2 linked regions of the Arabidopsis thaliana genome follow. The protein of the gene in region 2 interacts with the protein of the main gene of each other region in a pairwise test. Each region holds a gene or a part of one and is shown on either strand. Other genes may lie near its edges.

Region 1 (5,385 bases), about 17 Mb from region 2:
AAGAGCCTGTTGGGGATTTTGTGACATACCGATGCATCATCTGAACTCTGAAGAAAGGCAAATTCGTTGCAGCTACTCTATGATTAACTAAGACACTCCTGTTACCTATTTCTTCTCCTCAAAACAGTACTTTATGTGTCCTTGGTGTGTGCTTACAATTGTATTAAGAGATTGAATCTGGTTTCGAATGGGGGAAAAACATTGCAAACTACACGTTTTCCAAAATGTAGTTGTCATGGAGATACGTATAACAAAAGAGGTTTTCGAAAAGTAACAAAAAAAAAAAAATCTAATTACAAGAATAAGAGCTTCACAAGAAAGGAGCAGTCAGGAGATTGTTTCAAGAGACGCAGAAAGATGCTGTCTAGTCTGCAGAAATACCCAAAGCTCCTCTCTAACACGGCAACCTAAACTGATTGAAAGCAAAAGCAACACCTGCGTATTAGTTACAATCTGTATACAAGCTCTATGCACGTATACAAAAGGGCATGGAAACGATTTATAGAGTTATAGTATGGAAATAACAACCTTCTAAATTTCACAATTTTCTTTTGTTTCCTTGGGATGCTTCAACAACCCTCTCACCAACAGTACTACTAGATCCAGAGTTGGGTGCATTCCCCAAAGCAAGTGAATCTGCAGGTCCTTCTTCCTTTTGAGCTTTCTGCTTAGTTAAGTGAGTCTCTCGTATGCTGCATTTAGGAAAATTCCCTTTTTCTTCAGTTCCCATCTTCGAAGAAGCGGGTGATTCTGGTCCTTCCATTCGCTTTGCCGCCAACATATCAAAAGGCCTATGAAAGAGCAAATGAGCCACAGTTCTGTCTGTGGGGTTGGTCACTGCTTCTGTATCTGGCATCCCAGCATATCTGTAAATATCAAATACAAAAGCTAGTTATGTAAACCACAATTTGATTGATAGTGATGATGAACTCGGTAGCATTTATTAAAAAGGTTAACCCCCATTTACGAAAAAGTATGCTTGTAGTTTTACTAGTTTACATTGTCTAAGTACGAAGTTAACCATATTGAATAATACGCATAAATTTGCTTACCTATATCTGGATTCTTCTCTGGGAATGACTTCCTGGTCATCCTGGCTAGTCTTGTTACTGTGGGATGTATCACTAGTGTAATGTCTCTGAGCTGCACTACCAGCCAACCGGAATAAGCTATCCCGTATACAAGTCCGTGTTCCCATATCCAACTGCAGGTCAATAAAGAGTATTAGTTTACTCCCAACACAAACATAACAAGTCAATCAACCATTTGAGTACCTTTGCTACAACATCCTGAAGCCGATAAAGAACTGCGAATTCTGCTGAATTATCAACAGCAGCAGCAAATTTGCCAGAATCATCTTGTTCCAAAGATGAACTAGGATCAAAGGAAGGCATTGCAGTTAGCCCTTGGAGATTAGTTTTGTCGACAAGCTGGAGTGGAATATCTTGGAGACAGTTTTGAGTAATGGATTGATCTGCTACAGGCACCTGATGAGAAAATTGCTGCTGTTGTCTCTGAATGGCAAGCATTGCCTGCATTTGCTGTCTGCGTCTAAGTTTTTCTAGTTTTTCCTGTGGTGTCATTGTTGAAGGCCGTGCAGAGGCATCTGTTGCCATGTTTACTGAGGTAGCAGTAGCAGGATTGTAGGAAGGATGCATCAACTGATTCCTAACATCAGGATGTTGGACGGCCGAAATTACAGGCACACTAGAATATGGATTTGCAAGATTACCAAAAGCAGAATTAGCCATGTATTGGTTTGGCATATGTGAATAGTGTGATGTCCCAGACCCCTCAGACTCACTCAGGAGATTAACAGCCATCAGAGACGATTGTGGCGGTGCCAACTGATTTACACATTTTCCAGCTGAATTACTAAATGGAATCCTCTGACCGTACAGCTCTTGAAAGGGCCTTGCCTCAGAAGTCCCAGGCATTTTCGAAAACTTCATCATTTTATTTTGTTGATATGGCTGGTCAGAAAAAGGAAAATGAAACGAAAAAGGCTCAGTGGAGCTGTACAAATGAGAATGCATAAGAATTTGACGACATAGTTCATGCTACAGATCCACATTGGCAGAAACTAGGTACATACTTTCATTCAATTTATCATAAACGTGTGAGCAATAACCAGCAGTCTGCTACGCATAGTACCTGGTCCTCAACTGAGGGTTGACCCTTATGCTCACGATATTGGTCAGCCTTAAGAGTTACACGTACACTTGGGACACTTTGGGATGACAGACCATTGGCTTTTCCAGTCAATGGAAATTGCTGGTTCTCTTGTTGCTCAAACTCAGTTCTAATATCCAATCCTAGATCTTGAGAGTCCAACATTGATGATAATGATTTTGGGCTATTGGATACATCTTTAGAAGATGACCATAACTCATCACCACCGCTGAGACTGCCATCACCAAATATAGGGACATCATTGCTGCAAAACCATCACTTGTGAGGATATTGTGTTAGAGGCCAATGTGCATGAAACAAATTGGACACAAGAAATAAGGAGCTAGTATTTTTTTCATTATTACACCTTTCCACCATATTCACATCTGGTATCTTATAGTTCTAAGACGAAATCAAGTCAGTAAATAACACATTTTATACATGGTAGAAAAGGAGTATGTCATTGAAAAGTTACCGCCTAGCACAGTGAGGATGAGAAGTCGTTTTACCTGAACATTCGATCAAGATCATCAAAACTACCAATGTTGGCCCAGCTGTAGTCATCAAAATCACCTTGCTCTTTACTCTCATCAGAGCTATGAAAAATATCAGGGCCTTTCCCAAGTTCAGACGTTTTCTCTGGTAAAAACAGAGTGAGCACACAACTTTTAAAATGATTAGATTGGAAAGAACGTACCCAAGTAAAACATGACTGTTTCAAGAGAAACGCACCACCTCTTGTTGAATCATATCTGACTGGCTCAGCTAAGCATTTTGAAAGTTCAGTCGCACTCAAATCTTGATCAACCTTTGTAGCATTAGTTAGCGACGTGTCAGGCCATGAGCTCATACAGAAATCTGGCTGAGGAAGCCCCTCATCAACATTATGGCTCGAACTGCTCCCCAAATTTTTATCATGGAGGTCAATTTTAGTCCCAGTTATCTTTTGCTCAGCTGTCTTAGATTCCTCAATCTGTTCCTTTTTGTTAAGTTGTTCACTTCTGACTTTAAAAGGCACAATATGGTCGCCTGTCTCAGCATCATCACCCCATATCATATTAGTAAGCTGAAAAGTAGGTTAAGACCATAAAACAAGTAGGGATCAGGCACAAAGCAAGTATTAACAACAAGCCACCAAAACTAAAATATTTAAGAACCAATGATACTAGAGACTGATAAATTACAGGATGAGTGATTCAAAACCTGATCGTTAACCAAATCCATAAGAAAACAGAATTATACTGATTCCACATAAAAATTCGTATATATAGCAACAGAAGAAACTTACCTCTTCTTCTTCCCAATCAAACATGACTGGAGAAACAAAATCGAATCACAGACCCAAAATCAAGCTCCCTGATTGCTCCACACATCGCCAGCTCCACAACGAAAAAAATCCAGGAAAAAACAACAAGATCAACAAATCGGATAACGTAAATCCACACACAATAATAAAGTGGAAAAAACGATAAATAAAAGAATATTAAACTGAAAAAGCAACAAGCTTTGAAAAACCTTGATTCAGCAGAATCCTCCTTCGTGCTCAAAGGATATGGGAAGAGAAAGGAGTTACAGTGGAAAAAAGAAAAAAGAGTTTTTTTTTGTATGAAATGGTCACGTGCCAAACGAGTGGCTGAGAGAGAACGGGTTGCCACGTCAGACGAGAAGGCCGTATCTAAACATGTGGCTGAGAGTAAACACGACTTGATTCCATGACAGCTCATTTTGACTTTCCCTGGCTGTGGTCTTTTGTTGACGTTTTTTTAATATTTTCATGTTATATCGGATTAGTGTTCGAGAAAAGAAGAGACACACAATTGGGTAAATATGTTTTTAAAAGAGTGGAACCAGTGTTCAACTTTTAGATTTGGTGGGGTTTGAGTTCATAGCGACCACAATTTTTATCTTATATGTTTTAACTAATTTAGCTTTCATTGATATCCACTTTTTCAAAAGTATTTGCTTGGATCAGTTTATTGAAAAGGAACTAATGCGTTATCCTGAACAGTTCATAACGAAACAGTGGATATAAATGGTTGCAATTGATATATATTTTTTAATAAGTGTGTTTATTTTTCAATTATAATGAAATCGTTTTCGTCCTTGATGACTAGGTTGAAAATTTTCAGACCTTGTTAATAGGCTTTGTGCCTCGATTGTTTATGCGTTTGTTTATCTTGTGTTTGTACTTTGTATTTCGAGATTAAAACGAATTGTTGGTAGGGGTTACTCTTGTTTCAGAAATGATCACGAGTTACGTTAGACACATATTAAGCAGTAAACATTGTTGCTAGCTTGTGATAGATCATAGATAGAGTGAGTCTGAGACAAAAGCAAATTAGTGTATATATCAAAAATAGAAATGTGCTACAAACCCGTTATTGCTGACTTGATAAATTTGTACTTGTTACATGCGCAAGATTTTAGTGATCTACAATCATGAAAGACGCTAGAGAATATGTTTCTAAGAAACTGGTACAAGAAAAAAATTATGTTGTATACAAAATAAAATAAAAATATTAACATAAAAAAGAGTGATGATCTTGTCTTTTAAATCTACCAATTTAGCCACTAAACAAATTCCTTTCGTTCATCAAAGTCCACAAATTCACTGAAAGTAATGATTCCAAGCATTTTTTCCCACCAATTCAACAATTTTTAAGTACAACACTTTAGTGATTCTAATTTACAAAAATAACATTTTGTTGTAAAACAAATTTAGTAGTACTAGAAATTTCCTTTTCAGGGAGATGCAAAAATTCAATTATCACACTGCTATTTTGGTCGAGGTGTAATAAAAAAACAAGGAGACAATTGCGGCGTGGAGGCTTTCTGTTTACATGCAGCACAAGAAGGGCCACATGACATGACATCATGTGACTCTGTTTCCCATAGTCAGAGAAAAGAAAAAATATGACGCCAGAAAGCTTGTTAGCGTCGGCGTCGATCAACATAGGACTCGCCGTCGTTGCACTCTGGCTCTTCTCCGTCCTCAAGAAGCAGCCCCGTAACGCCGTCGTATACTATGCTCGCCGCCTCTCCGATCGCCACCACCACCGTCCTCTGTCTCTACACTCATCCCTTTGCCTCCCTCGTTTCCTTCCTTCCGTTGCGTGGATCCCACGCGCCTTCCGTGTCCCCGAGGACGAGATCCTCAGCCGCCACGGCCTTGATGCTCTCGTCCTCATCAGGCTCTTCAAATTCGGGTAAGGA
Region 2 (5,328 bases):
CTCCTACTGATGGAGCAGGCCGCGTTGCAGCCATGATTGCTGCTGCTAACGTGCAACAGTACCTTGCAAAGATTCAAGCTGATGCGATACCTGAACACTATGAAGCAGAATTGGAAATCAATGATTTCCCACAGAATGCTCGGTGGAAAGTTACCCACAAAGAAACGCTGGGACCAATATCAGAGTGGAGTGGAGCTTCCATTACCACTAGAGGTAAGTTTTATGAGGCAGGACGTATCCCGGGACCTGAGGAACGCAAGCTCTATTTGTTCGTCGAAGGGCCTACCGAAATATCTGTTAAGACAGCGAAAGCTGAACTCAAGCGTGTTCTTGAAGACATAACTAACCAAACCTTCTCCCTTCCTGGAGGAGCACAATCAGGCAGATACTCTGTTTTATAAAATCATGAGGTTTTTGATTCTAGGATTTTTTAAAAATTATTCAGAAAACTAGTAAGTATTGATTGATGTTGTTGAATACTTGAATACATACAATCTCTCCACAATTGCAAAATCTTTTTATAGACTTGACTTGGTTTCCTTATTAAAAACAAAATTCTGAATCAAACCCCATAATATATAAAGAAAGCTGTCAACTTTAAAACAATAGAGTTGCCGTCATTTACTTAACACTGATCTTGAACCATTACACTCAGTCCTAGGACTTATCTTTTACACAAATACACAACAACTGAACAAAAAGTTATGACGAGATTTTAGTACAAGAGTAACGGGTGGATGAGAATGAGGCTGTCTTGCAACTAGTAGAAAAACCCCTTACATATATTATACCTACCATTCACCCAACTAGTCCTGGTCAAAATCTGCGGAAGCCCCCTATAGCTTCAAAACTTGGCTTATGTTTCTCCTCAAAACAACAAAGACCTTTTACACAATTCCCACATGATGATGCAGTGACACGATTGTGATTCCAGTGACGTATAACACCAAAGTTTATTAAACATGGGAAACCAATGAGTAAACCTGCCAATACGGTGAGAACCATATAACTCTTATGCAAGACTTTACAAAGTTTGCAAGAAGCCTGAACTGGTGCTAATACTCAAAATACCGTAGTGTATATATCTTGTATCCCAGACTGTGACTAACTATAGAACTCTTATTGCAAACCTTAGAGTTAGAGAACTGTCACTAGACTTATATCTAACCATGAACTCATGTGACTTCTAATAGTAGTGAAATGTTTTCTTGTACTGAATTTAAAAGGTCAGAGGAAAAAGAGGGAAAAACACTTACTTGCTAGCTGATGGCTCATATTTTTGTTATGCTGATTTGTCGCTTGTTGAGTTCTTGACAAGGGAAACAACGCTTGGGAGCTCGGTCGTCACGTTGTCATATGATAAGAGGACTTTCCTCTGCAGCATCATTACAATCCGACTAGCTGAGGTTAGATTAAATTTGATCACGCAAGCGCAAAAAAACTCATTTCAATGTAAGGAACCAAAGATCATAAAAGAAGTGCCTCCAACTCATTGGTTGAGAGTGAAATAGTTTCAGACTCTGAGAAAGTTGGTCATCACAAATCTTTTATCGCAAATTTAACACTTACAGTGGATTCTAAATCAGGGTTTGATAAGTTAACTGTGAGGTTTCTCATCAATAACAGAACCTGTAAACACCATACTATGTGATTAGTGAAGAAATGCTAAGAGCTTGAACACCAATTAATCTGAAAGCTTGTAAACTCTTGACTCACAGTTTCGAAATTTATAGGATCCATTTCCTTGAGCTTTTCCACATGGCCTCTCGTTTCAGGATCAAAGACACTCCCAATGAAATTATAAACTTCAGCAAAATCAGGAACACCTACAAAGATAGTATCAGTACAGTCTCCATCATGCATAAAAGTTAGTGAAAAAACATGGAATTGTTCACAGATGGTTACCGTGAAGCACTGGAGGCTGTTTAGCCTTTCTTACAATCTCAGAACCTGATACTGTTCGGCTTGAGCTTCCCATGCCAGATGTAGAAGGGCTACTAACATTTAATAAGCCCTTTGATCCAATATCAGCTGAATCAGTGGCGTTATATGCCATAATAAGCACATGAAACGTCCTTTGATGGAACCTATTCTTACTACAACTACCAATAAAATGAAGAAAACAAAAAGGATAGACAAATGTGCATGCCTTCTGCTCCACGAAGAGTAGCAAGTTCATGTTGTGGTGAAATAACTCTGTTTAGCAGCATTGAGGCATCATCCCATGAAGCATATCCCGGCATGTCGCCATTTCGCGTAGTAGTAAAAGACGTGGAAACTTGAAGTGGCATTTGAGCTGCAAGAAAATGTGAGTTAAAAACTCAACTCTATAACCAAACTAAGAAGTATTATAAAATATTCGAACCGTTCTTTGATGCCTTTTGAGGATACGGATGAGCTGCTTTGCGCTTAGGTCGAGGAGGTGGCACATGAGCTAATGTCCCGTTTTTCTGAACCTTGAGAAAGTATTTTTGAGCATGACTCCTTATCTGCAGTACAAAGTCAAATAAGTTGAAAACATTGCCACAAAGTAACTGCGACCAAAAATGCAGAGTAAGCTATTTTAAAACCTGAATCACAGTCTTTGAACCAACAAAATCTTCAATCTTCTTCCAGTCACGATCAAACCTAAGGAACATAGAGGAGTAGTAGTATCAGCAGAATCAGGTCCTAGTTACATCAATAACACTTTCAAAAAGTCAACACAACTATAAATTTATTACAGTTGAAGTGCTCCAAGAAGCAGATCTTTTTAGCTAAGCAGATTTTTTATAGCTAAGTTACTACTAGACCTAAGCTAAGTAACATAAACTTTCCTCTGTTTGTTCAGTCTATAACTAACTAAACTCAGAAATCAGCAGCAAACTAAGAAATTTGAAGTCTCTAAAAACAGAGAAACAGAGATAAATTATTACAGTTGAAGTGCTTCAAGAAACTTATCGTGCTCTTCCTCTGTCCAGCTCTCTCTTGACTTGGTGATGGTATATGGTTTCCTCACTTTCTTAGACGAACCCTCTGCCACAGCATCCGTCGATGTTGGTGGTGGCGGAGGTGCTTCGGCGTTCGTTGGATTTCTTGACGGCGACGAGCTCATCGGTTATTTTTCAGATAAAGACAGGTGTAAGAGAGAATGCAGAGAGAGAAAGTAGGAAAAAGAAAAGTCCACATGGCGGGGAAGAAGTTGGGATGTGTATGTGGAGTAGGTTTCACTTTGATCTCAGACCATCCATTTTTCTGACTTTTTTTATTATTATTTCATTCTTTCCTACCACTTCATTTAGAGCCTCAAGCTTGAAGCACGTGTAGACTTGTAGTCTTTTGATTTCATGAAAATGAATCCAAAAAAACGAAAGAGTTTTATACTTTAATTAAAACAAGTGGCCTAACATTTATCTTTAACTTGCGAGTTTGTGGCCATCAAGCCATACAAGCTTTGGAAAAACCTGGCGGACAAAAGAGCTGAACTCTTCACCTGCAAATATTAGGTCGTTGTCTCTAATATCTAACTGCTTCAGTTTCATCAAATCTCTAAGCACCAAATACGCATCCTAGTATATACCAAGCACCTCTCTTCCAATTTCACCCGAATTAGAGGGCGGCCAAGAACAAAGGTACCTTGTTGTGTCCACTGGGTGCTTGCCGCCCATGTCGTTATGTGAAACATCCAACACTTTAGCTGCTTCAGATGTCTTAGAGAGTCAAGGGATGAAAAGCTCCGATTTAGGCAACAGAGAATTCGGTTTTGTATTCAAATCTTACGAAACAAATACAACAAGTCGATATGTCCGAGTGGTTAAGGAGATAGACTTGAAATCTATTGGGCTTCGCCCGCGCAGGTTCGAACCCTGCTGTCGACGTTTTTTTTTATTATTGATCTTTAATATATAAAATTAAAAGATTCCGAACCATTTGAATTTATACCTCTTCAATACATGGCTGTATATATGTAAGGACCAAGAATAATATACCATCTTCATTACATTAGAAGAAGAAAAAATATTTTGAATCTCTAACAATTTTTTCATTTTAACTGTTTTGATCAAAATGGTCTTTCACCTTCGTAATTCCCGCGTGGATCATATTCACACACCACAAGATAGCCACGACCGTTATGGCATTTCACACGTGCGCATCCAACGGCTGTGGTCTCTCTCCACACCATCTGCGTGTAATGGCCGCACATCTTTCCCGGTGCGCACGTGTTTGTTTTCACGTCGTAGTTAAACCTTTCCTCAAACCATCTCGTCACCACTTTCTCCGGCGACCACGTCTTCTTACGCCGGTGCCAGAAAATGTTCTCACCGTAAGGCCCACCTGAATGTATCATACTGCAATCGGACTTACGTTGTTTAGCCCATTTATCAGCGAATCGGGCCAGGTCTCTGTCCCATCCGAGCGTTGGCACGCCTGAAGAAACACGTGCATCGTTGTGCGCTTGTAGAAATTCTCTCGACAGTTTTGCTCTTCTCGCTCTGTTTACCAAACGCGCCGCCGTGTTCACCGCGTCGGGGATGGAGGTTCCGAGGACGGAGGGATGACCGGAAAAGAGAAGGAAGAGAAGAAGAAGACATGATGATGGATGAGACAACGTTACAGACATCTCCACGTCTCTGTATAATTTTGTCTCTCATCATGATTCCTCTGTTTCTAAGGGAGTTTTTTTTGTTACTTTTGTTCAGTTAGAGATTTTTCCATTTTCTGACATTTTAACAAATTTTCCTGATTCTGTTGTTTCATATCAAACAATTCTTATTGGTGATGATGAGAAAACTACCGTATATTTTTAGATTAAAAAAACGAAATTATTAAGGTTGTTATACTTTTCACAACCCAACAAAAGCTAAAAAGAAAAACAATTCCGTCAACAGCAGGATTCGAACCTGCGCGGGCAAAGCCCAATTGATTTCGAGTCAATCTCCTTAACCACTCGGACATATTGACTTTTGCTCATTGTTTCTACTATATTATATATATACTCAGATATTATCAGTACCAAAATAAACAAACAAAAATAAAAGCTTTTGGAGATAGAAGAAGAGTCTGGGAGAGCTCTTTTACTCATAGCAGTTAAGAAGACATGGAACAGAAAGAAAAAGACAATCCCGAAAGTCGTTTTATTTTCTTAAATATTTAAAACAAGATAGCAGACGAAGTATTAAGCAACAAAATCCATTACACTTATTTAAAATCATTATAAGCCAAAATAGACGGCCTATAAGCAATCACCAGTCTTCCTACTCTTCATTGGTCTTCATCTTCCGCAGGACTAAGGTCGTCTCTTGGGCTGTATCCGTCTCTAGGACAACGGTCCTCTCTGGGACTAGGACT

The links. Proteins that work in one complex are often made in the same cells at the same time.
Region 1: the proteins of RVE8 (region 2) and AT3G54500 interact in a protein complementation assay, tested with the Arabidopsis thaliana proteins (one study listed by BioGRID).

The regions. Positions count from the first base shown.
Region 1 is NC_003074.8:20,175,254-20,180,638, forward strand, and holds AT3G54500 (agglutinin-like protein), read right to left. Parts: upstream 3,775-5,385; 5' UTR 3,485-3,774; coding exon 3,461-3,484; exon of another isoform or gene 3,239-3,460; coding exon 2,682-3,238; exon of another isoform or gene 2,452-2,681; coding exon of another isoform or gene 2,438-2,451; coding exon 2,155-2,437; intron 1,974-2,154; coding exon 1,275-1,973; intron 1,205-1,274; coding exon 1,053-1,204; intron 867-1,052; coding exon 539-866; downstream 1-538. Other genes in the region: RPB5E (RNA polymerase II fifth largest subunit, E), read left to right, coding at 1-44; AT3G54510 (Early-responsive to dehydration stress protein (ERD4)), read left to right, coding at 5,086-5,378. UniProt on the Arabidopsis thaliana protein: Transcriptional coactivator necessary for expression of the clock genes PRR5 and TOC1. Antagonizes REV8 function in the regulation of anthocyanin accumulation. Involved in red light input to the clock. Activates clock-controlled genes with afternoon peak.
Region 2 is NC_003074.8:2,944,225-2,949,552, reverse strand, and holds RVE8 (Homeodomain-like superfamily protein), read right to left. Parts: upstream 3,315-5,328; 5' UTR 3,095-3,314; coding exon 2,916-3,094; exon of another isoform or gene 2,640-2,915; coding exon of another isoform or gene 2,629-2,639; coding exon 2,571-2,628; intron 2,490-2,570; coding exon 2,366-2,489; intron 2,297-2,365; coding exon 2,150-2,296; intron 2,032-2,149; coding exon 1,906-2,031; intron 1,827-1,905; coding exon 1,717-1,826; intron 1,630-1,716; coding exon 1,570-1,629; coding exon of another isoform or gene 1,537-1,569; exon of another isoform or gene 1,398-1,536; coding exon of another isoform or gene 1,376-1,397; coding exon 1,283-1,375; 3' UTR 1,257-1,282; exon of another isoform or gene 984-1,256; 3' UTR 536-983; downstream 1-535. Other genes in the region: AT3G09620 (P-loop containing nucleoside triphosphate hydrolases superfamily protein), read left to right, coding at 1-401; AT3G09590 (CAP (Cysteine-rich secretory proteins, Antigen 5, and Pathogenesis-related 1 protein) superfamily protein), read right to left, coding at 4,040-4,600. UniProt on the Arabidopsis thaliana protein: Transcriptional activator of evening element (EE)-containing clock-controlled genes. Forms a negative feedback loop with APRR5. Regulates the pattern of histone H3 acetylation of the TOC1 promoter.